Linked DNA regions of Mytilus edulis. The main gene of each other region encodes a partner of the protein of the gene in region 3 in a complex. Links are inferred from orthologs where the notes say so. Each region holds a gene or a part of one and is shown on either strand. Other genes may lie near its edges. The genes, in order: DNA-directed RNA polymerase III subunit RPC9-like, DNA-directed RNA polymerase III subunit RPC3-like, DNA-directed RNA polymerase III subunit RPC5-like and DNA-directed RNA polymerase III subunit RPC10-like.

Evidence for each region.
Region 1: DNA-directed RNA polymerase III subunit RPC5-like (region 3) and DNA-directed RNA polymerase III subunit RPC9-like share a complex: the UniProt entries of both Homo sapiens proteins name them as parts of the RNA polymerase III complex. The link is inferred for Mytilus edulis from reciprocal best matches to the Homo sapiens genes POLR3E and CRCP.
Region 2: DNA-directed RNA polymerase III subunit RPC5-like (region 3) and DNA-directed RNA polymerase III subunit RPC3-like share a complex: the UniProt entries of both Homo sapiens proteins name them as parts of the RNA polymerase III complex. The link is inferred for Mytilus edulis from reciprocal best matches to the Homo sapiens genes POLR3E and POLR3C.
Region 4: DNA-directed RNA polymerase III subunit RPC5-like (region 3) and DNA-directed RNA polymerase III subunit RPC10-like share a complex: the UniProt entries of both Homo sapiens proteins name them as parts of the RNA polymerase III complex. The link is inferred for Mytilus edulis from reciprocal best matches to the Homo sapiens genes POLR3E and POLR3K.

What each region holds. Positions count from the first base shown.
Region 1 is NC_092344.1:6,443,868-6,451,110, forward strand, and holds the start of DNA-directed RNA polymerase III subunit RPC9-like, read right to left. Parts: upstream 3,012-7,243; 5' UTR 2,868-3,011; intron 560-2,867; 5' UTR 438-559; coding exon 3-437; 3' UTR 1-2. UniProt on the Homo sapiens protein: DNA-dependent RNA polymerase catalyzes the transcription of DNA into RNA using the four ribonucleoside triphosphates as substrates.
Region 2 is NC_092347.1:36,094,669-36,102,449, forward strand, and holds the start of DNA-directed RNA polymerase III subunit RPC3-like, read right to left. Parts: upstream 3,004-7,781; 5' UTR 2,957-3,003; coding exon 2,810-2,956; intron 1-2,809. Other genes in the region: NAD-dependent protein deacetylase Sirt7-like, read left to right, coding at 4,614-5,411, 6,726-6,936. UniProt on the Homo sapiens protein: DNA-dependent RNA polymerase catalyzes the transcription of DNA into RNA using the four ribonucleoside triphosphates as substrates.
Region 3 is NC_092352.1:63,261,755-63,269,241, reverse strand, and holds the start of DNA-directed RNA polymerase III subunit RPC5-like, read left to right. Parts: upstream 1-4,473; 5' UTR 4,474-4,506; coding exon 4,507-4,542; intron 4,543-7,487. Other genes in the region: H(+)/Cl(-) exchange transporter 7-like, read right to left, coding at 1,723-1,848. UniProt on the Homo sapiens protein: DNA-dependent RNA polymerase catalyzes the transcription of DNA into RNA using the four ribonucleoside triphosphates as substrates.
Region 4 is NC_092355.1:14,059,080-14,066,852, reverse strand, and holds the start of DNA-directed RNA polymerase III subunit RPC10-like, read right to left. Parts: upstream 3,005-7,773; 5' UTR 2,990-3,004; coding exon 2,828-2,989; intron 1-2,827. Other genes in the region: U11/U12 small nuclear ribonucleoprotein 25 kDa protein-like, read left to right, coding at 3,131-3,181, 7,171-7,419. UniProt on the Homo sapiens protein: Core component of RNA polymerase III (Pol III) which synthesizes small non-coding RNAs using the four ribonucleoside triphosphates as substrates. Can mediate Pol I proofreading of the nascent RNA transcript.

The DNA.
Region 1 (7,243 bases), on a different chromosome or scaffold from region 3:
AGTTAAGTTTGTTCCACAGAATCGTCCTCGTCTTCCATCTCTTCATCTCCAGCGTTAGATGCTTCTTTTGTTACGTTATATTTTGTTATGATTTCTAACAGCTGATAAATCTGGTCTTCTGTTAAACGTTCTTCACTTTCTTCTATAATCAATTGAATTTCAACAGCTGATGTTGGGCACTGATTCAAAATTTGTAGTTTTTCTGCTTTTGTTAAATTAAATGCTTGCAAATCTGTCATGATGTTTTGAATAAGTTCTGGACTTTGATTTTTGCAAGGTGTATTTTCTAGATATTTAACAGTTTCATAGGTAATAGTTGCAAGGTTTTTCTGGTGCTTGTTTGGTTTGATTTGTCCTCTTCCAGTGTGAATGTCAGACAGGAGTTGTAGAACTTCATAATTACTCAGTATAGCAGAGTTGTCATTTTTCACCTCCATTTTACTATAGTATGATTTATAATCTATGAGGTTGGGAACTGCTTTTCTAATGTCCTGATGGATATAAATCTACCAGCAGCTATAACATATACCCAGGCAAGCAACACAATCACAGCTAGTAACTGAAAATTAAAAAAATTAAAATAAATCTACTAGCAGCTTAAACGTATACATACCTGGGCAAGCAACACAATCACAGCTAGTAACTTAAAATTAAAAAAAAGAGGTTTATTTAGAAACAAAGTTCTTATTTCAATGTATAGAAAATTAAAGTGCTAATCCTAAATTGTTTTTATTTTTGGTCCTACTATCATGATTATGGTTATTTTGAACTTCCCAACTGACTCTTTAACTTTAATTGTTTGTTTATCATAATTTATGACAGAAGTCAATCTAAAATATATTGTATTGTAACCAGAGAGAATGAATTTCATTACAAAATTGCTCGTCTCCACCTGGACGCGAAACTAGGACCTCTGTTACTAGGCAGTGTGTTAACCAACTGAGCTAAAGAAGAACTTCCTTAGCTCAATCGCTTACAGCTGACTTAGTATCTACCAAATGTTCTAATGGACGAAGTACTAGTTGTCCTGTCACAGTATATTAGAAAAGAAAAGATATTGGTATAAGATAGAGCATAATTGTCAATGAGAAAACTCTCCACATGAGACCAAATGACTCAAAAATTTAACAACTATAGACCACATGTACAGCTTTAAACACTGAGTTAAACAAATACCTACTAGTCAGCTATAAAAGGAGCGAAATGACAGATATAAAACAATTAAATCAAAGTGAAAATGATTGGCCTGCACAGCAAAAAGCACAAAAGGCATAAAAACTGTGCTTTTATTGTTGATCATAAGGTGACATTGTGACCATTCAACAAACAGCAAAAACTCTCAACTCACAGCAAGTTTAAGGTGGGCACTAATGTATAAGTCAGGGCCGTAACTACATTGAGGCAAATGCCTCATGTTGGAAATTTAAAAAAACAAAACTGAAACAAAAGATTGTCTTCATATCAAGTTGTTTTCATAGAAAGCGTCTTGCAATCTGAAGCAAGTTCTCTTCACTCTCTGATGTCGCACCTGCATGTTTTTCGTGATCCATGTTTCTATTTTACTATTAGTTTTCAGATTTGATGGTCTATTGTTTGTACTGTGTCCTGGGTTTGTCTTTTGTTCATTTATTGTCCTACTTTATGACGATAGTATGATTGTTGCTTTTCATTTGTAAAAGTGTGGTTTTGCAATGTTGCATGTCCACTGATGCCCAGACATTGTGCAAGGAAATATTTTGAGAATACACGATGCTACTGGACACAGAAAAAAAATGGTCGTTTCTGCATGAAGAATTGAACTTGATTTCAAAGAATACAAAACTGTTTTTTTTTTTTGTAGATAAAACTAGATAGCTGACAAGGTATAAATTAAAGTAAGACCACCAATTTTCCGGTATCAAATCATCTACTAAAAAAACATCAATGTTTTACCGTATGACCTTTTCATACATTGAAGGATTAAACTTGCATTTAATAAGTCGTGTTCAGACCCTTTAACAAAAAATAAAGAAATGTGTAGTAAACTTGCACGGGACCTAATCTAACACAAAGTCAATGCAGAGAAAAATACAAATGATCAATGGTCAAAGTATTTATTCCTGCTCTTCATCTTGATAGTTGCTGGGGGGTCTTCAACAATAAAAGAATCATTAGTAACTTCAAACAAGGTCAAGATGGTCCTTAGTGTCGACTTAAGCAGAACTAGTACTTAAAGTATAATACTGCACTGTCACTATATTTAAATCTAGTCGTAAACAAAGCACAATACAAGACAAGAACAGACAGATCCGATTTTAATTATAATGAGAATTACGATTTTTGCTTTATCCTACATATCGGTCTACCTTTAAAGCTGTCCACGTAAAACCCAAGTCTTAAATTACACTGAATCTATGTATTGAGACAAGAATATTGTTAAAAAAAAAATAGCTAAAAATTGATTTCGTTTTAATGTAAGAAAAAGTCTGGGAAACCCTCAGAATGCACGATTTTGAGGGTTTTTTTTTCAGAGCTTCTTCCGGCCTTGAGTGGCCCCCAGACCCCTCGCCAAAATTTTTCCACATCGCTATGCTAGGTGAATATATTTTGCTTCACTATTATAAGAGGCTAGTTACGGACCTGTAAGTTCATTCAACCTTGGTGTTGACTGGCTAGCGATTACAGTAGTAACTACTTAGAACACTCTGCCACAGAGGCCCACGGCGTCATATGACAAAACTCTCATTATAAATCTGAAATGTGTATAAATCTGAACAACTAAATGAATTTTGTAAAATGAATCTAAAAAAATCGAGTTGTAACACGTTTAGGTAACTCATTTTTACATTTAATTAAAGGATGTTTGATTAATCAAAAATGATGCTTACAAAATTTAATAATCCGTGTATGGTGGTTTTACTGACAACAATCATTTTTATCTAATATTGACACACAGACTTCATTTACAGAATCTAAACATTTCATTTGTTTTTACTGCAAATTCAGGTGTAAAAAGACCGGAAGTCGGATATGGAAAATTAAATATCGATCTTAAAAATATTAACGGAGAAACAACGAAATATTTTACGCATTTTACTTTTGCAATTGTTCTTAAAAATACAATAACAATGCTGTCTTCATATTTTTTTTTAATATTCTCGCGTTATAATTTATGAATAAATGTATTTTTACAATTTTTGTTGGGAAATATTGATTCTATGCAATTTAATAGCAATTATCCGGAATACGATGTAATTAACGCGAAACTCGATTTCCTTGTTAGAATTTCACTGTAAATCGATTGGTGACGTCAGATGATGCTGACAGCAAATTAGTTAACCAGTTTCTTCTATTTTACTCGAAAATGCATTAACGCTGATTTTTTAAATTACGGTAAAAACATGCCTAACACCAAAATTTTTATCTAATATTTTTAAAAGTAGCAAAAACATTAGAATCATGTCATCTGTAAAATTATTATTCTACCAAATATTATTTACCAGATCGTCCTTAACTGTACAGTTAAACCTGCTTTAATTGTCACCTTGTTTCAGCGGTCACCTGCCTCTATAGCTCATTTACAGATCCTCCATAACAATTTCACTAAATATACATGTTCATGTAACTCTTCAGCGATGACTGAATCCAGGTCCGTTCACCATGATTCATGTTCGATTAGATTCAGGTTTGCCCTGATTCGCTTTTGCCCTAGTACCTGTTCGCCCTGATACATGTTCCCCCTGGGTCCACTTCCCTGATTTTATTTGTTTTCCTTTTTTGCTGTCTAGTGCATAATGTTTATTATCTGAACAGAATATGTTTAACCCTCTTGCTGCCATATGTTTTTCAGTGTTGCATTTCATGTGCCAGGAAACATGACTGCTCGATGATCATGTTTGTGATGTGACATGCCAAACAATGACGTCATTCGATATATGAAGTCATGTCGTAATGATCATTACATTTGAGAGCCATTGCAGAAACATATTGCACTTTTTAATTTTTGTCGAGCCTGCAACTTGTGTTGCAGAAAGCTCGACATAGGGATAGTGATCCGGCGGCGGCGGCAGCGGTGTTAGCTCACTTCTTAAAAGCTATATATTTTAGAAGGTGGAAGGCCTGGATGCTTCATATTTTGTATATAGATGCCTCATGTTACGAAGTTTCCGTCAGTCACATGTCCATTGTCCTTGACCTCATTTTCATGGTTCAGTGACCACTTGAAAAAAAAGTTCAGATTTTTTGCAATGTTAAATTCTCTCTTACTGTAAGTAATAGGATAACTATATTTAGTATGTGCGTACCTTGCAAGGTCCTCATGCCCGTCAGACAGTTTTCACTTGACCTCAACCTCATTTCATGGATCAGTGAACAAGGTTAAGTTTTGGTGGTCAAGTCCATATCTCAGATACTATAAGCAATAGGTCTAGTATATTCAGTGTATGGAAGGACTGTAAGGTATACATGTCCAACTGGCAGGTGTCATCTGACCTTGACCTCATTTTCATGGTTCAGCGGTTATAGTTAAGTTTTTGTGTTTCGGTCTGTTTTTCTCATACTTTATGCAATAGGTCTACTATATTTGTTGTATGGAATGATTGTAAGGTGTACATGTCTAGCGGGCAGATGTCATCTGACCTTGACCTCATTTTCATGGTTTAGTGGTCAAAGTTAAGTTTTTGAGTTTTGGTCTTTTTATCTAATACTATATGTCATAGGTCAACTATATTTTGTGTATGGAAATATTTTATGATCTATATGTCAGTCGTGCAGGTTTTATTTGACCTTGACCTGGTTTTCAAGGTTCATTGCTCAGTGTTAAGTTTTTGTGTTTTGGTCTATTTTCTTAAACTATAAGCAATAGGTCAACTATATTTGTTGTATGGAAGCATTGTTAGCTGTACATGTCTGCCTGGCATATGGTTCAACTGACCTTGACCTCATTTTCATGGTTCATGTTAAGTCTATGTGACGGTTGTAATAAAGCTTTAGATTTAGGAGTATCAACATAATATCAATGATTAGTAAAGAAGGCGAGACATTTCTGTGTGTGCACTCTTGTTTAATTTTTAAAGAATTTCATCAATGATGAGAAGCTTGCATAAATTAGAACATGGACATATATGTCCCTATGGCACAGTCGGTCTGGACATATGTGTCCCTCTGGCAGCAAGAGGGTTAAGTGTGTTGAAATATTTGCCAAATATTTGTATTGCTGCAACCAATTCATTAGTTTCCCTTTGATATGCATAGACTAATAGAATATATTTATTGATGTTTGTTAACAAAAATATTCTTTACATTCCGTATATCGTCAGATTATCGGAATTTCAATGGGGACTAACTGTGCACCACTTATTGCGGACCTGTTTTTGTATTGCTATGAGTTACAATTTATGACAAAAATAAGCAAAGACCCATCGAAACAACATCTTACAAACAAATTTAATAATACTTTTCAGGGTTGGCAAAAACCCGGGTTTTATGAGTATTGCCCTGCCCAGTGGGAAATACTGGGAAAACCCGGGTTTTACTGGGTTTTAATGGGTAATACTGGGCAATACTGGGTAATATAAAATACTTGCCTGAAATTTAAACTCAATTGCAATACATTTAAGATATTTATAAACACATTTTGATTTATAAATTAGTTTACTTGTTTGAGAGTGATAATACATTTAAAAAGTACTATTCTTGCAACTATGAGACAAGTAAATATGTAGTCACACATTACACAAATATTAATGGAAAAGGCCTTTATCAATAATTCTCTTCTGAAAGTCTATTAAATCACCCTCTCGTCTAGATTGGTCAAACTGTTAACATAAATTCAAAGAATTCATTTTTCAAATGTATACATGTATATCTTACATTAAAAATTAACAAGAAAATGTAAGAAAAATTACTTTTGTATAATTTATATGTACATCACTAATTAATAAGTAATTATTCAGATTAGGACATTGATATGTTTATATAACAATATTCAGCCTTTTCATTTCTATAAGGGTTAATGACTTGACCCTAAGGGTTAATGACTTGACCCTGTAGGGTGTTTATTTACCAACATGATTGCATAGACATTTAAATTTATAATTCACATAAACACTGCTATAAAATGCATTTTTAGCTCACCTGGCCTAAAAGGCCATGTGAGCTTTTCTCATCACTTGGCGTCCGTCGTCGTCGTCGTTAACAATTTTTCAAACAACTTCTCCTCTGAAACTACTGAATGGATTTGAATGAAACTGAACATGATTGTTCCTTAGTATATCCTGCACAAAATGTGCGCTTCGATTTTTGATCCGTCAAAAAACATGGCCGCCGTTACTTAAAATAGAACATAGGGGTCAAATGCAGTTTTTGGCTTATATCTCAAAAACGAAAGCATTTAGAGCAAATCTGACATGGGGTAAAAATGTTCATTAGGTCAAGATCTATCAGCCCTGAAATTGTCAGATGAATCAAACAAACCATTGTTGGGTTGCTGCCACTTAATTGGTAATTTTAAGGAAATTTTGCAGTTTTTGGTCATTATCTTGAATATTATTATAGATAAAGATAAACTGTAAACAGCAAAAAAGATCAGCAAAGTAAGATCTACAAATAAGTTAATATGACCAAAATTGTCAATTGACCCCTTAAGGGGTTATTGTCCTTTAATGACAATTTTTCACAATTTGTTCATCATATTTGCTAACTTTAAAAAATCTTCTCCTCTGAAACTACTGAATGGATTTGGTTAAAACTTAGCATGATTGTTCCTTAGATTATCCTGCACAAAGTGTGGGCTTTGATTTTTGATCTGTCAAAAAACATGGCCGCCGTTACTTAAAATAGAACATAGGGGTCAAATGCAGTTTTTGGCTTATATCTCAAAAACGAAAGCATTTAGAGCAAATCTGACATGGGGTAAAAATGTTCATTAGGTCAAGATCTATCAACCCTGAAATTTTCAGATGAATCAAACAAACCATTGTTGGGTTGCTGCCACTTAATTGGTAATTTTAAGGAAATTTTGTAGTTTTTGGTCATTATCTTGAATATTATTATAGATAAAGATAAACTGTAAACAGCAAAAAAGATCAGCAAAGTAAGATCTACAAATAAGTCAATTTGACCAAAATTGTCAATTGACCCCTTAAGGGGTTATTGTCCTTTAATGACAATTTTTCACAATTTGTTCATCATATTTGCTAACTTTAAAAAATCTTCTCCTCTGAAACTACTGAATGGATTTGGTTAAAACTTAGCATGGTTGTTC
Region 2 (7,781 bases), on a different chromosome or scaffold from region 3:
GTTTATCTCTATCTATAATAATATTCAAGATAATAACCAAAAACAGCAAAATTTCCTCAAAATTACCAATTCAGGGGCAGCAACCCAACAACCGATTGACCGATTCATCTGAAAATTTTAGAGCAGATAGATCTTGACCTGATAAACATTTTTATCCCATGTCAGATTTCCTCAAAATGCTTTGGTTTTTGAGTTATAAGCCAAAAACTGCATTTTACCCCTTTGTTCTATTTTTAGCCGTGGCGGCCATCTTGGTTGGTTGACCAGGTCACGCCACACATTTTTTAAACTAGATACCCCAAAGATGATTGTGGCCAAATTTGGATTAATTTGGCCAAGTAGTTTCAGAGGAGAAGATTTTTGTAAAAGATTACTTTAATTAACGAAAAATGGTTAAAAATTGACTATAAAGGGCAATAACTCCTAAACGGGTCAACTGACCATTTTGGTCATGTTGACTTATTTGTAGATCTTACTTTGCTGAACATTATTGCTGTTTACAGTTTATCTCTAACTATAATAATATTCAAGATAATAACCAAAAACAGCAAAATTTCTTCAAAATTACCAATTCAGGGGCAGCAACCCAACAACCGATTGACCGATTCATCTGAAAATTTCAGGGCAGATAGATCTTGACCTGATAAACATTTTTACCCCATGTCAGATTTGCTCTAAATGCTTTGGTTTTTGAGTTATAAGCCAAAAACTGCATTTTACCCCTATGTTCTATTTTTAGCCGTGGCGGCCATCTTGGTTGGTTGACCGGGTCACGCCACACATTTTTTAAACCAGATACCCCAATGATGATTGTGGCCAAGTTTGGTTTGATTTGGCCCAGTAGTTTCAGAGGAGAAGATTTTTGTAAAAGTTAACGACGACGGACGACGACGGACGACGGACGCCAAGTGATGAGAAAAGCTCACTTGGCCCTTCGGGCCAGGTGAGCTAAAAAGGAAAAACTTAAATTGCTTAAAAATGCTATCCATGAAGTTCCTTAACTCAAGTATATCGCACCATTGTTGCTCAGGGGTAATACTTATATCATGTATATGATTTCATGAATGTTCTGTTATGAATCCTTAACAATTTATTTTTTTCGTAGAGTAAAACTGCTCGTGCCTTGTTCAATTTCTTCCAAAAAATAAAAATAAAACAAACAAGGCCATGCTCTTCATTGCTCTTCTTTGATTGGTAACAAGGTTCTAAAAACACTTAATCCATGGATTGAATGTTGAATGTGTACTGATTGATATTTAAGTCTGAGACTTATGATTTTTATTAGTTATTTTTGTCTTTGAACAAGCTTTCAGACACTGTGGGTACTCTCAGATCTGTACTGTATCTTCTGTGTTTTAACTTTTAAGTGTATTGTGTATACAATGATATATCTGTATATCATGTATATAGATGCAAATTTGAAATAAATAGAAGACAAGTTTTAAAATATGCTTAAGAAATTAAATAGAAAAGATGGTGTCACAGAACTTATTTTCTAAAGCTTGCTTCAAGTTAAAAAATCTGAATTTCTTTAAATTCCTTTATCAAATTTGACTATTTAACAATGTTTAAATTATCTCCCTTAAAGTTCCTAGTTGGGAAAATTGATTCGAACAAACCCAAACAATTGGTGTAGGTTAAAACAGTCTTAATAATGCAATAAATCACCTTATTTTTACTTAATTATGTAAAGCAAATAAACAGTCTTATACATTTATTGCCAATCTGTCCCAAATTTTGCAGGCTAATGCAAAGAACTACATGTACACTAATTGTATACATTTACAAGGTGCTCATATAGTTAATGTATATTAAGCCCTTTATCACTGGTTTTTATAATTGTATTTTGATCTAATGTTGTCCCAGGTTATGGGGATTGTTTCGTACCAACTAACATTATTAACCTGCCACAGCCCTGATTACATGTTCATCCTAGGTCCATTCGCCCTGAGTTTGTTCGCCAATAGAGTCCATTTGGCCTGGGTTCATAATACCATTTTTTTAATAAACTAGTCAGCTTAGAATTAATAAAAGCAATGATGTACAAATTGTTAATCATGAAAAGGATTTCAGTACAAATTCATTTATCATGTTTATTATTAAACTCTGAGACTACTTTGACACCATCTTCACTAGCCAAGGATTACAATCCACTTCCCTCCTCTTCAGACAAGAGAGACATGGGTGGATTGTAACCCTAGGCTAGCAAAGATGACTAAAACACATGTGTTTAAGGTCTCAGTTATACTACATTGTACATTATATATATATAATAATTTACTGAATAGAAATATTTTGTTAACAAATATCAAAACTTTAAAGAAAAATACATTTTATTCATGTACATGTATTCTACTATGCAAATCAAAGGGAAAATGATAAATAAGATTCAGCAATACCGAAATATTCAGTGAATTTTACAACGCACGTTATAATTAACATTTAAGTCATATTCTGTTCAAATAATAAACATTATCAGAGGCATATACATTGTATATATGTCTCTGAAATTATGCAAATTTGCAACTAGAGAACAATAAGAAAAAAAGAAAAATCAGGCCAATGGCAAACCGGTATTAGGACGAGCAGGTACTTTACAAATACATGTACTAGAGCGAATACATATGTCAGTGAATCAGGGCAAACAGACCTTACCCAAGACAGGAGCCTATAATTCACTGGTTGTTGTTTGTTGCTGTTAAGCATAAAATAATTTTGTTTTACCACATCTTTTTATATCATGTTTAAAATCATATTTTATGTAATTATGTTTATAAAAATATATAGTTTATTTAGATCAGTAATGCACCTGTTCTAGTGAGAATTTGCTCTTTAATGCAAGGTATCTAAGTGCACAGATATTATCCTTCAATAGATGACATCCAACTGCTTCTGCTACTTCTCCAAAATTATCTTTTAATATGCTTTTGCATAGGTTACTTTTATTATGTGACATGCTGTTTCGTCATTAAATTGGTTGGTAAAATCAAAAGAGATTCCAGCTAAACAGAGAAGTATGGAAAAGATCCGAGAACTCCAAAAACAAAGAAGGTAAAAGCTGAAACAAAAGCGGTTTTGGAAACTGTTTACGATTTTTTGCAGTACAGTATAACTTTTGAGTTTAATTATAGATCTAATAATCGAGAGAATCTTAAACACAGTCCCCTGGTGTCTCCCCCAGCTAAGTAATCTACTTATCCAGTTGTTTTTTCCTTGGGTTGCACTGCCGAAAACATTGAGCCTACTGCAGAGCATCACTTTTTGACATTTTTTATTTGAAATTTCCTGTCGCTAGTGTAGTGTCAGTGTTTCTAATTTTTAGTGGAAAGTTGCCTTGTTTATCAGGTTTAATTCAATATTAACTATAGAAAGATGAAAAATATATACCAAATTAATGGCGAGCTTTTACATGGTTATCAATTCACCGTTTCGGAATCTTAAGCATTCTGGGTAAAATTTCCAAAAGAGTACAACAAAACGCTGTGATTGGTGTAAAACGTGATTAACAATAGAAATTCAACCAATGACCATGATGACGTAACGTTATTTTCATTTTGGTGTACCAACAATGAGATTACCCATAGTCCTTTAGATTTGATTTTTAAAAAGGCGAATTATCTAAACAACAGTGTAAAGTTAAGTTTAAAAGTAAGTTAATCAGCTTTGCTAATGTAAGCCAGTTTTGTAACAGACTTTGGGAATAGCTCTGATAGCAAGGACAAAAAATGAAAGAGGGAGGCGATTATACAAATACAAATACAAATATTTTATTGGATGCCTCCGATGATTGGCACAAACTCAATTACAATAATTGGCAATGGCCCATACAACTAGTATACAAATAGTAATGATGCAGCAATTAAACAATACTACATAGCATATCATTGGGCACATTTCGAACAATGAAATGTGCAGAACTTTATAAATATATCAATACAATGTATATAGGTTAATTTATAAGAATTATAAGACTACTGACATAAGTTTATTGTATGTTATAGCTTCAAATTGTTCATACATTTTGTATTACTCATTTATAAGAACATTTTTTCTTAATTCAAATGATTGATTAATAAAAGATGATATTAATCTAAGTGTTTTTGACTACACTTGCTATTAACTGATTAAGTAATAGTTTGATATATTCATCCTCCGTTTTGGATTGTTTGTCATAGTTTTTAAAATAGGACAATTTTGATACAAGAACATTTCTTTGTGATTCATATTTTGTGCAGTGCAAGATAAAATGTTTTTCGTCTTCTATATTTTTATTGTGACATAATTTGCACAACCTTATTCATGGTCCACTGAACATAGAAAATGACAGTGCATGTTTCAGGTTAAAGTTTTTGGTCAAGGTAGTTTTTGATGAAGTTGAAGTCCAATCAACTTGAAACTTAGTACACATGTTCTCTATGATATTATCTTTCTAATTTTAATGCCTAATTATATTTTTTATCCAATTTCATGGTCCATTGAACATGGAAAATAATAGTGCGAGTTGGGCATCCGTGTACTTTGGACACATTCTTGTTTTACCTCAATTTATAAGTATTCAATTTTAGGATATATATATTTCAGCAACTTTGTGATGTTTATGTCAGAATTTCAAAATGGGTAAGCGTGCTTGTTGTGTTAAAGGTTGTCGAAATAATGGAAGAAGATTAGAGAAATGGAAAGAACACTTCTGTGACTTTCATAATTGTAATTTTGGAACATCAAGATGTATATGTGAACCTCCTTTTACACTTTTCACATTTCCAACTGAACTTAAAAACCCATACAACAGGAGAATCTGGACAAAAAATGTAAACAGAAGTATTGGAAATAAAATCTGGACCCCTACTCAAGAGTCTCGTATTTGCTCAATACACTTTGTAGATGGATTTCCTAATGACAATAACCCATATCCAACATTGTGTCTTGGTCACGAATTGGCTACTACACAAACTTTTGCAAGACCACCACCAATTGACCGATCAAATATAGATTCATCTCCATTGAAAAAGAGAAAACATCAAGATTCTCCCAGTGACAAAAACCCAAATCCAACATTTTGTCTTGGTCAAGAGTTGCCTACTACAGTAACTTTTGTTATACTACCACCAATTGACCAATCAAATATAGATCCAACTCCATTAATAAAGAGAGAACATCAAGATTATCAAGATTCTCCCAGTGACAATAACCCATATTCAACATTGGGTCTTGGTCAAGAGTTGGCTACTACAGTAACATTTGCTAGACCACAACTAATTGACCAATCAAATATAGATCCAACTCCATTAATAAAGAGGGAACATCAAGATTCTGACAGCACAGATTCATATGACCACCATGACCATGAAGACCATAACTATTCAATTGCCTGTCTCTCTTGTGAACAGAAATCTTATGCAATAACCCCAATGGTAATGGTATAATGTTAATTCAGAAATTATTGCGTGCATTTATTATTGCAATTTTTCAAGAATGGACAAAAGTGCAAGTTTAATTATTGCGATTTCCAAAAATAGCTGCATACAGATCTATGTTTCAGTTATCAGAATGCAAGTTCTTATTCTTGCGATTCCCACCCGGTTGCATTATTCAAATTAATTAAAACCTGACCATTTTTATTAATTTACAGTACATTGTTTAAATACTTTGTATTCTTGTACTGTATTCAGGGTATTGTCTTGTATTGTAATTTTTTGTAACACTAAGAATGTATTTACCAAATTTAATATTTAAATTGCTCCCTTATTTATAATCTTCACATAAGGTCATATATAATGTATCTTTCCTTTATGGGGTAAGATTACATTCCCCAATTTTCACAGCCAAGTTAAATTAAATAAAAATTGGCTTCATCATTTTCATGGTATACATGTATATTGCATCAAAAATATTTAAAACAGTTAAGATAGATGGCACTGTTTTGATACTTTTGTGAAATTTAAAAGTACAAATGTTGCTTTGATCCCCTTTATATATACAAGATTTGTTTTGCTTCATTACACTTACCATTGTTACTAGGTCAGTGACTTTGAATTCATTAGCAATATCAAATGTTAAGTTTTCTGCTTAAGTCATAATTGGTGTGATAAAAACTCCTTGTGATAAATCAATGATATTTTATATAAAGTTGCATTGCTTTTTGTACAACTCAGTCTGTACAAATATGTACATATCAGTTTAATGACTATTTTTAGGCCCTGCCTGTTATGCCTGGCATGTTATGGTGTCTTTGTTAGAATAGATATAGGAAGATGTGGTGTGAGTGCCAATGAGACAACTCTCCATACAAATAACAATTTAAAAAGTAAACCATTATAGGTTAAAGTACGGCCTTCAACACAAAGCCTTGGCTCACACCGAAAACAACAAGCTATAAAGGGCCCCAAAATTACTAGTGTAAAACCATTCAAACGGGAAAACCAACGGTATAATGCCTTAATTAAATGATGCTAAAATATAAAGAACAGACAATAATCATGATAGTAGGCAAAAAATGTGAATACGGTAATAGAGAAAATGGGCCAAAAAATATGAAGCATAGGATATAGAAAAAAATTACCTTAAGAGTATAGAATACAGAAAAAAGGGACCTTCATACAGACCCTCATCATGTTCATGTATGATTTTGTGTCCAGAACTTATACATGTTTTACACCTCATTTCTTTTTTCAACAACCCAACCAAATGATTACAATATTAAATTATTTCTTTCAATTTTATTTCAGTTTGAGATGTCAGTGAATTACGCAGATGGTTTATCACCATATGAGCATAAAGGACCTTGTGGCCAACCAGAACTACAAGATTCTCCTGAAGAAGGAGAAAGAAAGATAGCAGAATTGGTAGAGTTGATCAAATATAGTAAACATATGATTGTCATCACAGGTGCAGGTATCAGCACCTCAGCAGGGATACCTGACTTCAGGGGGCCAAAAGGTAACTTTAAATCATAGTCAGCAGGAGAGTTTTCTTAAACATGTATAACATAATACATTTGTAAAGAAATATGAATGTTTTTTTTTTTTGTTTTTTTTTAGGCCCTTGGCTCCTCCGGGGAGCATAGGCCATTGACGAACTCCCTCCATCTAACTCGATTTTGGGCCAGCTTTTCTAGTGTGTTCCAGTTGTGTCCTTGCTGCTTTATTTCCGATTCTGTGTCCCTACGCCAGGTGTTTCTTGGTCGTCCTCTGTGTTTTTTTTCCCTTGAGAGTTCTACTTTAGAGTCTGCCTTGTAATCTGCTTGGACGTTAAGCAAACAACAATCAATCAATGTAATCTGCTTGTTAATTTTCGCAGTGTGTGGCATATCCATACCCATTTTCTTTTCTTGATTTGGATGTCAATCAGTTCTTGGCCAGCTCTTTTCCATAGGTCTTCATTTCTTACTTTATGGAACCATCTGATGTTCATGATTCTCCTTAGGCAGTAGTTGATGAACCTTTGAAGTCTTAGACAACATTGTTTTGGTTGTTCTCCATGTCTCTGATCCATACAAGAGCAATGATTTAAAGTTGGAATTGAAAATTTCCATTTTTGTGCTGCTTGAGATGTTCTTTGCACTCCATACTTTCCCTAGAGTGTTAAAGAATGAATGGGTTACTTTAGATATAAAAGAGAGGTAAAAGATGCCAAATGGATATATATATTCAAAATCACAAGTTGAAACAAAATGGGTGATGCCATGGCAAAAAAATGAAATACGATGAAGACAACATAGGAAACTGAAAACTACCCAACACAAACTCCATAAAAAATCAAGAGTGATCTTGTGTACTCAGATG
Region 3 (7,487 bases):
AATTTATGTTTTTTAATATTATTAGAAGGTTGTTTCTAGTATGTCTAATCTAAGGCTTCTGCAACACATGTTCAATTCAATTCAATTCAAAGCTTTATTTATAGACGGCATGTAAATTAACGAATCCCGGTCCGTTCGCCCTGGTACATGTTCACCCTGATACCTGTTTTGCCCAGGGTCCAACGCCCTGAATTTTATTTTTTTCTTATTGTTGTCTAGTTGCATAATGTTTATAATTTATATATGAATATGTTAGATTTTGTTGAAATTCGCCAAATACATGTATATGTATTCCCTCAACCATTTTATAGTTTTCTTTTGATTTACATATAGGTAGAATACTGGAATACAAATCAATGTTTATAATTTATCTTTATTTTAATATTTGTTACCAAATCATTTTATTCAGTCGATTTAAGCAGTATAACTGAGACTACTCTATCACATGATTGTGTTAAAGTAGTTTCATAATAAATGAACTTGTAAATTCTTTTCTTAAAACAAAATGTTGTTTTTATTATTAATCCCGCATCAAAGACAAATATTACAACAATCAGTGAGAAGTATTATGTCATTGAACAAGCTTTCTATGTGTTTTCAGAAATTCAAAGAATAGACCACATAAATATGAGGGGCCTGATGGGGGGGTCTCATCACGATTCACGAGTTGATTTTTTTGTCAATCACGAGTCACAGAAAATAAATTTCCATGATCACAGATCACGAAAATATAAGAAGAGTATCACCAATCAATCTCGATAATAGAGATTCAGAAGCTGGTTGTTTGGTGCAATTAAGCTACAATCAAATACATTACTGGCTCATTACTTGTTTACATGTTGAATTCTCCCAGGTTCTAAATTAAATCGTTAAAAACAGTCACATTCTGACTTCTTTTATTGTATAATAATAATATTTCATAGAAATGTTTTACTGGCGTAAATACCATGGAACCACATCTGTGTTTTATCTTGAGGCTAAACTAAGAGATTATAAAGTATATATATTTATTTTGTCAATAAAATTTACTGCTGAGCCTGATTGTTCTCCCACTCCTGCTGGTTGTCCCAATAAATTTATTTTCCTGTCCAAAACAGGTTGGATCTACATAAAATATCACAACCTCGACAATGTTATTGCTGTGGCTCTCAGCCATGGGGGCTGCCATAGCTTGCACTAATAAATGACCTAATTGCACTTTTAAAACTATCGTGCCACTTCAACTTTTTAAGCCAAGAAAGACAACTCAATGGAACTCTTTTTTTCCGTAATGAAAAAAAAATCACGAGAACGAAAAATATGTCTCAATCACGAAGAACGAACATAAAATTCCAATGAAAACGATTCACGAACAATGGTTTCATCACGAATCACGAAAAATAAATCTGTAGATAAACGGATCACGATAGCGAAAATGAGCCGATCACGAAGAACGGAAATAACCCATCAGCCCCCTCAAATATCTGAATAAGTTTTGTAAATTTTTATGCCCTTTATAATATTGACATTTCTTATTTAAAAGTAGGGCGAACGTACCAAGGGCGAACGGACCCAAGGCGAACATGCAATTAGGGCAAACTGACCTGATACCTTAATAAACAGATATACATATCTGTGAGCTTTTATAACTGACAAATACATAAAGGATTGAAACATAAAATGTTATTGTCTCAGGTCTTATCACATGTATATGAAGGCAAGCACAATATATTTTCATATTACCAAAAAGTTTACAGAAACTTCCACCAATTGTGTTGAACCGTAAGATGTTGTATTTGTGTTTTTGAGAGCACAACCTATTTCAGAAAGTTCAATATATTCTGTGCATCGTTTTCCAATCAATGCCATTTTCTCTGAACACTTTCAATCTCTAGATTCAATGAAGATATCCAAGAACATGAAGTATAGATTTGTTTCCTTGTATCATACATTTTTAAATACTTTTTGCCGGTTGATTTCTAAGATTTGACTCATAAGTTTTTGTTTCCCGCTTTTAAGCAGCTAGAGGAAAAGAAAACAAAAACTGTAAAAAATGACTCAGAAAGTTCATTGTTTAAATGCGAAACCGAAAGTATGGTGAAGGAAAAACTTATAAAATATATTCAGTTATCCATGACTGTTTGTTACTATAGACCTGTTGTTTCAACATTTTTTTCTGTGGTTTCAACAAAGATGATTGTTCGTTGACGTCTTCCGCCATCCTCTCACGTGTTGTTTGTTGTTGACATTTAATCAAAATTATTCCGAAGCAGGGGAAGCTGCCGAGGTGTTCCGATTAAAAAATAGAAAAGTCCCGAGGTAAAACGTATTAAAAAATGTATTGCAACACCGATAATAGTATATATTGAAAGAATAAATTGATTAAAGTTTTAATGAATATTACCATGAATTGATCCTTGAAAAAAATAGTCCACTCTTCAAACCAAATACAGTCTGAGGGTCAAAATTGTTACACCTATTAGAAATTATTTCACACTGTGACATTGGTGCTGTTATGACCCCCCCCCTAGTCCCTCCCTTTTATTATCATAAACCTCAGATTTTTTAAATATATATAACACTTATTTGTACCATATATATTCTAATAACTTTAAATAAGCATGCCTAGTACTATCAACGTGAATCTCGACTATACAGACGATAGCTTAATCAGTGCCGGCAAAATGTTCTTCTAAATATGAAAATACTCCCATAATTACATGACGTATGACATATTTAAAAAAAATAGATTAAAGGTAGCTCCATGGTATAACAACATCTTGGATTATACAATCGCAAAACAAAATCGGTCTAGTTATTTGCCCAAATCTGCAGTTTTGGAGACAGATTTACAATTTATTAGTTCGACTGTTTATTGATTTAAAAAAAACTTTGTGATTAACTTTATTATTCATAATATTTAAACAAATATCCATTTTTTTGTTTTTAGAATCATATTTTTCTCAAATAAGCCATTTAAGTGTAGATAACTCTTTTGGGGGAAATGCAAGCCTACGGCTTGGTTCGTTTGCCCAGGGTTCTTTAATGCTTCCTAGGAGTCTGTTTCCTGGGAACGTGAGCCCGCGTAATTTTGAATATATATAATAACGGGATGGAATTTTATCGTATTACCTATGTGTTCTAAATTGAAAACCTGTGTTTAATGAAGTTAGATGGTCAGTTTTCAGAGTTTTTTAGTTGTAACCGCAGGATTGATGCAAAGGAAGTCATTATCCCCTTTTTATATTCTCTCTATAGAAATAGAATTAATCAAACAGGCCTGGGTATTGAGCCATATGAAGTCAGAATGTTAAATTCATTTTTGTTCATGTACGCAGACGTGAGGTTTATCATATTTTGAAAATTCGCCGAAATGCACTTTGTATCAGTATTTACAAGATGGCAACACTATGCAATTTTACCTTAGTCGTCCATTAAACAGTTTGTATAAATCTTATATTACTAGATATAACATAAATGCTCATGCACTATGCATAGAAACAGGTAGATACTATAGTATAGCAAGAAAGGAACGTTTGTGTAGTATGTGTAATACAAATACTATTGAAGACGAGTATCATTTTATTTTAGAATGTGATAAATATAACGACATCAGATGTAAATATGTAAATAGTTATTACTATTAGAGACCCTCTACTTTACTGAATTAGTGTAGCTGTTATCTGTAAGAAATATCAAAGAGCTAAACAACCTAGTAAAATATTTGTTTTCTGCAGAAAAAGCACGTAATGGTTAATTATTCAAATGTTTATTTTTAGTTTAATATGTCTATATGTCATACTCCGCTTAATTCTTTCATTGTTTTGTATAATTTGTGTATAAATGTTATATTATGCTGTATATTATCTATTGGATATTTATATTGTGTAAATCCAATAAGCTGTATTTGCTTACGGAAATAAAGTATTATTAAATTTTGTATACACTCAAACTTTATTTTTAGTCGTTTTGACAACTTTATTAGAAAAATAACTTTCACACTTTTTTAACATATGAATTATACAAATTTTATTTTTTAATGTGCAATTACTTTTAATTTCTATTTTTCTAACCAAAACTTTAAATACAAATTAAAAAATATAATTTGCCATTATCTTCCCTGAACTGACTCACAAAATCAGGAAATAACCGACATTTTCGTGCATCTTTCACTATCATATGACAGTTTATTATAAAATCGGTTGCGGGTACACGTAGCCTACGAAGTCAAATTTGACTACGCGTACCCGCATGCGGGTATGCGCAGACACTGCCCAAAATAAAATGTAAGCCGTCCTCTCCCCATTCCAAACTCTCTTTTGTATCTCAAAGAGAGAGAAAAAATCTTGTTGAAAACAGATTATAAAAAAAGTATGGAAATAAAAATGGAAACGGAAAACTTACAAATAATCTATCATATTATAAAAATAATATGTGATCATATGTATATTTTATCAAAATAATTGAATAAAACCAGGTTAGGGATCAGCACTATTTAACTTACCTGTGAGTATAACAGTCGGAACAATGTCGGACGAAGAAGACGACCCGATTGAGCATGAGGTGACAAAACATTGCATTTTAATCTAATGACAGGTTCAATAATGAATTTTGTTATAGAATAGTATACTTGCGTTACATAGTTAGCTATAAAATACTTGAAAATTTTGACAAAATTGAAATTTAATCATTTGGGATTGTTGTTTGGAAAAAGGGGGAGGGGTATTGTTAGTTCAAGAACTGAAGAAGTTAAAAAAAACTTCACCATATAGCAGACATATTTTACCATACTATATCCACAATGTCCAATTACTCTTCTTTCCTTTAAATATTTTTGGAAAATTTCGAACAAAGAAAGAGTATGTAAAAACATTTATTCCATCTATCAGTCAGTGGCGTAGCTTGCATGTATGCTCAGATGCTCAAGCATCCACATCATTTTGACAAAAAAAAAATATATAATTGCATATGTTGTGTCTGAATGTAAGGGTGACGATATGTGAACATCGTCCAATCATTTCCAAAGCAGTATACATGGTCTTCTTTCCTTTAACCTTTTGGCTAAAATGGCCGTATTTACACCCCAAATTTTACTCTGAGTACAGACTAACCTATACACCTGCAACAGTTTTAAGGGATGGCAGGAACTAGATATATAAATTTTAAATGCATTTTATGTTTCAGAAAATTATAAACTTTTCTAGATTTTGCTATCCATTTTTTTTCGTTCCTGCAGAAGGTGCAAAAATTAACTAAGTCGTGAAAACGATTGAGAAGCTCCCCTCATATAATCAATGTTGTGAGTAGTATTGATTTAAATGGACAATAGATGGACAATAGACACCTGTAAACAATATGTGATTTAACAGGTTTAAACTGTGTAACTGAGTGGACCGTATCAAATGAAACTCGGGTGTCAGTCTTCACGCTGAGTGGCAGCCCTGGCAGCCCAGGCAGCCCAGGCAGCCCAGGCTTGTAAAATTGCTCTCGGGCCTGTAAATATCATATCTACAGGCCAACAGAATCTAACTAAAAAATTTCAAAAATTGAGCTCCGGGCCTGTAGGTTTAACAGTTCATCGTGAAGACTGGGGTGTTTGTTTATTTTGCTATCTTCTGCAGACTGGAAAAAAATGGACATCAAAATCCAGGTAAGTTTTTAATTTTCTGAAACGTAGACTTCATATAACTTTTATATATCTAGTTCCTGCCATGCCTTAAAACTTTCCTGGATGTACCAGTTTGTCTGTACTCATAGTAATTTTTGAGGTGTAAACACGGCCATATTTTTCAATTCCTTATGATGAACCTTAAAGGGAAACTTCGCAAAAAAATCAAAAATTGATATTATGTTCATTCTGTATAAAAATGTTCAAATTCATAGATATTAAAGTTTTATTCCGCTAGATAAGCGATCACCATCGATTTTAAATTTAGAGTATCAATTCTCCGAGATCCGCCATCTTGTCTTCTTTCCCGATGAATAAAAACGATATGTCTATAAACCACAAAGAAACAAAACTACAGTAACCGATGTAGTCGTAATTGCTTGTCGATATCTTGTCAATCGTACGGTTGTATAATACGACTAACTAACTTGATATGGAAAATATTCTTACTTTTTTTAAATTACCATGGTCTGTTGTTTTTAAACTGTTGATATGTGAATTAGGTGAAAAGTCAAAGTTGAAATCATAAATAAGTGTTCCGTGAAAATTGTTTTCGAAAATCTAATTTGTTCATAATTCTTTAAAGTAATAAACTTTTTTCAAGTATATTTTGATCTTCCCTTATCTGATCACCAGCATGGCTAAAGGTATTACTTCCAAAGGTATTGTGAGGGGTGTGAGGTGACACGTCCAGGTATTCAAGCGATTTCCTGTCGGGCTTGCAAGTTCATGCATCGTTTCACTTCTGCAGGTATTGATCAGTGTACACGGCTGATAACTTATAACTTATAACTTTCCATTTTGAACTATCAGATGTATAATATACAACTCTGTCTTACTTGTCATTACTAAACTCATACGCTTGTTTATAAATAACATTTCTGGTGTAAAGAATATAATTCATAATATATAAATAATACCCAAAAAATAAGATTTGATGAAATTAAAATCTATTTAAATATTTTTTCCAAGGGTGAATTTGGGAAAATGTAATATATAGTCATTGTCAATAGTGAAGGACAGATTGGAACAGACCAGAAATATTGATTTAAAAAAATGTACGCACTTGCCGACGATTCGTTTATACGACTGGATATAAAGTTACGGAACTATAGCGCAATTTAAAATATATACGTGAATACATTGAACATAAGAAAAAAACATATATTTTGAATAAATAGGGGTAAAAGTGTTGTAAATAGGCTAGCCAACGTATGCCAACAGTATGTAATTATCGAATGTCGATAGACTACAGTTGTATACCAAAAGAAGAAGAGAACCAATTTGATTTAAATACAGGTCGATGTATAACTTTTGCTTTGGTTCATTGAAGCTGTGGACCTAGGAAAATCACAGATTTATATTTCAATAAGATTGTTCTCAAACAAAGGAAGGAATTCGTCATCACAATTGTTATATATGCCACTGGACAAACACTAATTATCCCCAGGGGATGCGAATATTTTGCTGGGAAACTTTTGAGTATCAAAGTTTCAAATTAATTTCGGGATTTATTTTCTTTCTTGGTATTCAATAACCGAAAAAAGAATAAATTACTTGTTCGCTAAATAGGGATATTCTTGTCAGATAAAAGAATTTTAGTTATATTTAAAAAATAGGGAAATATGACATTAAATTGGTTCTGTCTTTTTTTAAACATCGTTAAAACGATGTGTGTCTAAGGTGAACGCCACAAGAACCCTGTAATACTAGTACGAGAGTATAGCATGTAAACATTCCTTCTCAATAATATGGTTGTATTGGAAAACTTTTCATACAGATTGACAACTCATTGTCCGATATGCATGTAATATTTGCCACATGACGCCCATAGTTCTTT
Region 4 (7,773 bases), on a different chromosome or scaffold from region 3:
GAAAATAAACGTCATACAAAACCGTAAAACAGATAAATGAAATAAAATTAAAAAAGAAACAAACGAGACTCACTGAAAGGCCAGAGGTTTCTGGCTTGGGACATGTGTCTGTTAAAGCACTAAAAGCAGGATGTTGGAATACTAAGGTGTCAGATTAGACAGGTATCAGGTTACACTGTTAAACTAGTACAAAAATGTAGTAATATGTCATGTCTGTAAGTGTCTGTCCAAAACAAAGAGCCTGTAATTCGATGGTTGTTGTTTGTTACTCTATTATCATAAATCAGTTTTCTTATTTAAATTGTTTTACATCATGTCATCATCATGGCATTTTAGAGCCTACTATCAGTAGGTTTTAAAGGAATTGGTGTTACTCATTGTTGAAGGACTGTACAGTAACCTATGGCCCACATGTAAATAGATGTTTCATGAGCAAATTTTATATCACATCTTCCAATTTTATTATCAAGAGGAGTGCAACCTAATAGCACTTATTGATTGGTCACTGCTAGTAGAGCAATAAATAAGACAAAACCTAATAGAAAATTAATCTTTCAGTTATTAAACATGCTAAAAGAAAAATACAAAAACATTTGGCACGATCAAGTATTTAAAGATTATCCTAACCTAAATCATGGAAATAAATTAAGGACATACATTGACATACAGAAAGTTTAAATCTAACTTTAGTTTTGAAAATTATTTATCTTGGGCATTGTTGGGGGGACTACAGAAAAAGAAAATTTTAACCAAATTTTGAATAAGTGCTCATGATCTGGAAATTGAAAAGGTAGACATTCTGGAATTAAATTAAATCAATGATTATGTAAATCATGCTCATTTTCTCCTTGTATGTCCTAAACTAGATATAATAAGAACTTCCCATTAATTTACAATTAATGTAAACTAAATAAGCTTAAAATTAAAAAAATTTGATCAACTAAAATGTGATGAAAAATTTATATGGTTTATTATTAAATGTCCTCTGAAGATCATTATATATATACATTAATATGCAACTTATTTAAGAATGAAAAGTTCAAATTGTTGAATACTTAGATTGAATCACTTTCATTTGTTCATGACTTTACTTGTCAATACAATGTAATATATATATTTCATTGTTACATGTACATGCATCTGTTTTTATGTTCCCTTCCATTTGCTATTTTATATCAATATTAATAACTTATATTGTACCATTCCTTATAGAATTTTGTGTTTTGTATAATTTGTGCTTGTATTGGAATATAAATTTCTGCTCCTTTGGGGCGCTCATTGCAAAATAAAATTATTTGTATTTGTATTTGTATTTGTATTTGTCATGTTTGTATTTAACTCAATCTAATGATATCAATGAATATCAAATGAAAATAAATGGGGAATGTGTCCATAGGACACCGATGATACCTGTAAAATGCTGCATTTTGTTTTTTTCAATACGATTGCAATATATGATAGTCCAAAGGCAGCGGCAACAAAATTGCGGTACTGAATAGACATATATGTCTTAGTGTATTAGCACACCATAAAAAAACAGACTGCAAATGTAGTCTTATATGAAAAAAGGGTAAATGCAATCCATACGCAAAAGTTCTCGATCTTGAATAACCATTTATTAAATATGCCCAAGAAACCCCCGCTTATATATCAAAACTGTTTAAGCCATAAGGGTTGATCTGATCAAAAAAGAAATGTGACACTTTTCCTCTATATACAATGATATATTCAACTAAAAAATGTAACATTTTATGTCTGACCATACATGCCATAAGAATTTTTGTCTGACATTTTGTCAGTCAGACACAGTTTGGGATACACTGCAGTTATAATTTAAGGGACATAACTGAAGAACAAAAGAAGTAATAAATTATGAGTGCCAATGACACAACTCTCCATCCTATAGATATAGGAAGATGTGGTATGAGTGCTAATGACACTTAAGCTACCCAAATTTATACTTGATTTGAGTTTTTGGTAAAAAGGCATTTGTATATAAGTTTTATAACATTTTGTTGAGACAAACTTAAATAAGAGACAAGAAACCAAAAATTCATCAATTTTTCCTTTTGTAAAGGGGCATAACTCTAAATTGGTTTAAATGACACCACCAAAAAAGCAATCGCAAAAAAAAAGATTTTTTTTTTCAAGAAATCATAGTGGGTTGTATTTGGGTCTAATTGTGATGTGGGATAGGCCGATTTAAAAAAAAAAAAGGTGAAAAAGTGACACGTATGTAGCCAATTTTTTTTTTTTAAGGTGGCAAGTGAAAGTCAAATAAATAAGGGTGAAACAGGAAACAAAGTCTGGAGGAGCATGGGACATTACATGCGCTATTATTGCAACAAGAAGGGAGATACCAGAGGCGGATTTAGGGGGGGGGGGGGCAGGCTCCCCCTTTTTGGGAACAAATTTGGTTGCTTATATAGGAAATCATTGGTGCGTGACTGTAGTGGGCCCCCTTTTAGGTCAGTCAGTGGGCCCCCACTTATGTAAATTTCTGGATCCATCACTGGATACGTTATTCTCTCTAAACAATAAGCGCAATCCAGGATCAGAACACCCCCCCCCCCCCCCCCCCCCCCCCCTCATAAGACCCCAATCAAATGACGACTATATGCTACATACCTCACACGATGTCATGACAATTTTCAGATGACAGTTATGTCCTCGACCAATACCTTATTTTTGACAAAGAGAAAATCATAGACAGACAAATTTTTTGTTCTACAGTATATTTTTATACATATCCAAGATTTTTTAACTTTACTAAAAATTTATATCATGAATCAGCCGAGATATATTTCTTATAACTTTATATGGTTACCTTTCTGTTGATATTTTGTATATAAGGGCATGTGTTACATGCGAATCTGTAGCAGTTCTGGCCTTCCTCAACCACCAGAATATTCGCACACGTTGGACAAAACAGCAACATAGTTGTGAAAGAACAAAGTGAAACCGGAAATGACCTCATTTCTACTTTCATTTTGTTCGGAGCACTATAATCAAATTTAATTTAATTTTCTTAGAAGTTACCATTATTCTTTTTATTTATTATTTGCTGCGTATGATTAGAATGTTTGAAATAAACACAAAAATTAGCAATCATATCACATGACTTTACAAAATGGCTGCGCCCATGGACCAGTCTGATTTACTTGATAGGTGCTTTGTTAAGGTAAATGTCTACCTTTAATATGCAATTTGAGAACAATTGCTTGGCTTTACTGTATAGTGTAGCAGCTTTCTTTCTTTTCTTCGTATAAGCTTCCTATTATAAGGAACACCCCTTAACGGGTAATAGCTCCAAGTGTATGTATGTATGTTCAAGTAATTAAAGTATCAATTAATTTCAGCAATTTATAGAAAACTTGTACCATGGAGTAATACCTATAATCAGACAGTCCTATAATCCAAAGAGATGGGAGAGGGATAATGAAATTCATCCTTCTGATGAATGAAATGTCTCGCACCCAGAGTCAGAATTGAACCTGTAACCTTCAGCACTGCAGCCATCAGTCTTATATCCACTATCTCATGATCAAATGTATCTGCTTTGTCTGCTGTGTATGAATAAGTACTGTCTTCACGTCATTGCCCATCTTCATTCCGTTCTTTTTTACGCGATTCTATGACTTGGAAGGCTAAGTACATGTAGATATAGGAAGATGTGTTATGAGTGCCAATGAGACAACTTTCCATCCAAGTCACAATTTATAAAAGTAAACCATTATAGGTCAAGGTATGGTCTTCAATACGAAGTCTTGGCTCACACCCAACAGCAAGCTATAAAGGGCCCAAAAAAATTACTAGTGTAAAACTATTCAAACAGGAAAACCAACGGTATAATCTACATGTATATGAAGAACGAGAAAGTCTATAATTATAATTTACATATAAGTGTTATCATTTATCAGCAAAAAGTTCAGGTTTTTGCAATTAAACCAGAAAAAGAATAGATAGTACAGCGATTTATAATATTGCAATACAAGAGCAGTGATAAAGCGGTCCAACGATTTACAGAAAAGAGCGACGATTTACAGAAAAGAACCGAAAAGGACCAAAAAGAACCGAAAAGGACCGAAAAGAGGATGCATATATATTTATTAAATAAAGTTAAAACCATGTATATATACACGGATTTTTTTTTATATTGTTAACAATTCTTCGTAATAATAAAATGGAATGCATAATTCAAAATTTAGATTGTGCATTTATAGGGGTATGTGAATTTACAAAAGAGAAACAATATAACTTGTTTTTTTTTAGTAATATTTTTTTAATATATGTATTTAATTATCATTTATTTTTCATCAAGGATTTTAATCTTATTATTTAAATATTTGTTTTTATAGATATAAGAAGGTGTGACAACTCACAATCAAAGTCATAATTTGTACAAGTAAACAATTATAGGTCAAAATAAAAATGAAAACGAGAAACAAGAAACACAAACCACATCAACAAACGACAACCATGCACTAAACATCAGGTTCCTAAATTAGGACAGGTGCAAATATAAATGCAGCAGGTTTAAACGTTTTACTGAATTAGCATACTACATGTTTTTAATAATACGCAGTAAAAAAAAATTGAAAAGCAAATATTATCGTACTACAAAAGTTTTTCCTTACATTTAAAAAAAATATATTTCGTTTGTTTATATTTAAGATGTCAGCATATTGCCCGGTGGCATTGGGTATGGTAATATAAAAAATATACATGTCAGCATCACCATTTCCTCTCGGATGTTAAATGTCAAATATACATTTGTTGCACGTGATTTAATCACGATAATCGTCACTTTGTCACTTCTTGTTCCCATGTATTTACATCTGGCAGATCTGGGGAATAAACTTCAACTGTCTTAAGGTCTTTAATGTATTTATTAGCTGCATCGTCATATGCAAGAACCATATCACAATCTTTATTTTGAAGATATTTCGTTAAACAATTCAAGTAGGACAGAACAAATTGCGTTACAAACAAAGCCACAATAAACTCTGGATTATCTAGGGGTCGCTTTATTACCTTCGATTACAAAAAAAAATCGATATCCTTTTCGGTTCTTTTTGGTCCTTTTCGGTTCTTTTTGGTCCTTTTCGGTCCTTTTCGGTTCTTTTCTGTAAATCGTCACTCTTTTCTGTAAGTCGTCGAACCCGTGATAAAGTATTATTTTGATGACAGAAAAAAAGATGTGACGCAATTTATTGAGATTACATTCCATGAACTATGAAACATCATCTGAAAGTGTTACTGCATGTGGAAAATTTGAGATACATGTAATGACACTTTTCCTATTTCATTAAAAGTTATTGATCTTTAAAGAACAAAAGAAATTACAGATACAAATTTTTTTATTTACTTCTTCATGTCATGCATGTGTATGTAATCCAATCCGATGTAGTCGTTTCGGGGCGAACGCCCTTCAGATATGAGAAGATTCCAATATTGCCACACATCTAATACATGTGACATACATGTATCACTTTCAACCACATTATATTTTACATGCAGGCACATGCACATGTACATGTATGTCAACAGATTTCTCGTTAACAACATCAACATGTTGAACAGGAATTGAATAGTATATTATATGTGTGTCGGACCATTAGACTGTTGGATTTACGGACTGTCAGATTGTCGAACTATTGGACTGTCAGACTACTGGACTGTTGGAATTTGAGGTTGTCTGATTGTAGCTATGCTGCCTGCACCATTGCAAACTCTTACCAATGTCAATTTTAACTCTTACCACTAATTATATAAACACAGACTTGTACTACAAACTCAGACAACTTCTTATTAGTACAAATGTATCATGTCCTGGGGAGAACACTGTCGTACCAATTAACTCATTTGAATGCCTCATTCTAAGTACATGTACGACCTACAACAGCTTTATTTATATTCAGTATTACACGTATATAAGTTACAAAGAAACAAAGAAAAAAAAAGCTCTATAGAGCTTTTAAAATACATACACACATACATTGTACAGTACAAGACATATGAAAATGATCATGATGATATGCACATGATACAAGGGCAATATAAAAAGTTTAGAAAAAGAAAGCATTTATAGTTCAAATAATCATGATGTCTTTAAAGACTATTTTTGTTGTTGCTTTGACACCTTACTGTGTTTTGGTAAGGCGTCAAATCCCAAAAATAAAATAGCTTTTAAACATGTTTTAAAAAACAGTCAAGGGTCTAACTTAAATAAGTTATTAGAGAAAAATAACATGCATGTTGTTATTGTGGGCTAAAATATCAAAAAACTGTGATAACATACATGTATGTATGTTACATGTTTCAAAGGGAAAATATACAACCTTTATTTTGTTAAATTTTTTTCCAATTCTATTGATAGTATAATTTACTTTATGTATACTAATCTTTGCAAAGATATAACAGCTCATAGTTTACAAATCATGCATAGTACACCTATTTTATAACAGAAAATATATGCCTGCAATAACAAAAGGGTGTTATTACAGATTCTCTATATATATATCTCTTTGAATGCTTTGCCCTGACATGCATAACAATTACTTTCAATTCATGGTAAGAAATGATGATCAGAGCTTGTAATGAGGCACTGCGCAAGATTTCAAGTGTCTCATTTACTCTCATACAGTTATTTACATGCTTGTAATAACTTAAGCCTTGTTATTACAGCTTACATGTAGTTTGCCCTTAAAGGCCTTGTCTCATTGATTTACCGTGGTTGATCAAAATGGTATTAATAGAATTAGAAAATTAGTTATCAAGGTAATATATTAAACTACTGCGCAAAGTTTTAAGAATTCCCTAGTGCCCATAAAGATAAAACATTTATGATATATTTAACCGATAACAAACATATATGTTATTACAGATTAAGGAAAAAAGAGTAGACAACTCATGAAAGTGTCTGTAATAACACATGCATGTTATTTTTCTCTGATAACTTATTTAAGTTAGACCCTTGACTGTTAAAGACGTCATAACTATTTGGACAAAGATCATAAAGAAAGCATTGTTTTATCATGAAAAGTTACAAATCTATAATTTTGTTTCAGACTGATGATTTTGTGCAGAGTTTCATAAATAGTCCTTGTGACTTAGAAAATTCACTCAAATAATCAATGCAATACTCACAAAATACTTGTTTAATTGTAGGTTGTCAAATCCCTGAGTGCTGATCAAAGTACACCAAAATCTTCTGACACGAATGTACACACACAAAATGTAAACAAAGACAGTACCCATAGTGATGACCTTGACAGCCGACCTGTTGATCAGATCACAGATAAGGTTGAATGTAAAGAAGGTGAAGAAGATGAAGAAGAGAACTGTAATGAGGATTTGGTTCTTAGTCATCAGGAAGTTATGATCAAGGTCCAGAGTACATTGTCGGATATAATAACTGTAAGTAGGAACCTGGGGGACACTTAAAGAGCCAAAAGGTACATATACAGTGTAACCTGTGTTATCTGACTCACTGGGGGATCAGAAAAAAATATCTGATTAAGCAGGGTGTCTGAATACTCAGATTATTTCTGTAATGATAGGCATGTTTTGAGACCATAAAAATATGTTGGTTAAACATGTTAAAGCAGGATGTTGGAATACTCAAGTATCAGATAAAGCAGATTACACTGTATATATGTAACACTCAGAAACGTGTCCTTCCCCCCAAACGTGTCCGATTCCCCCAAACATGTCTAGTTGAAACTGCGCCAAAGCGTGTCATTTGTATAAACGCCCAAACGTGTCCATTTC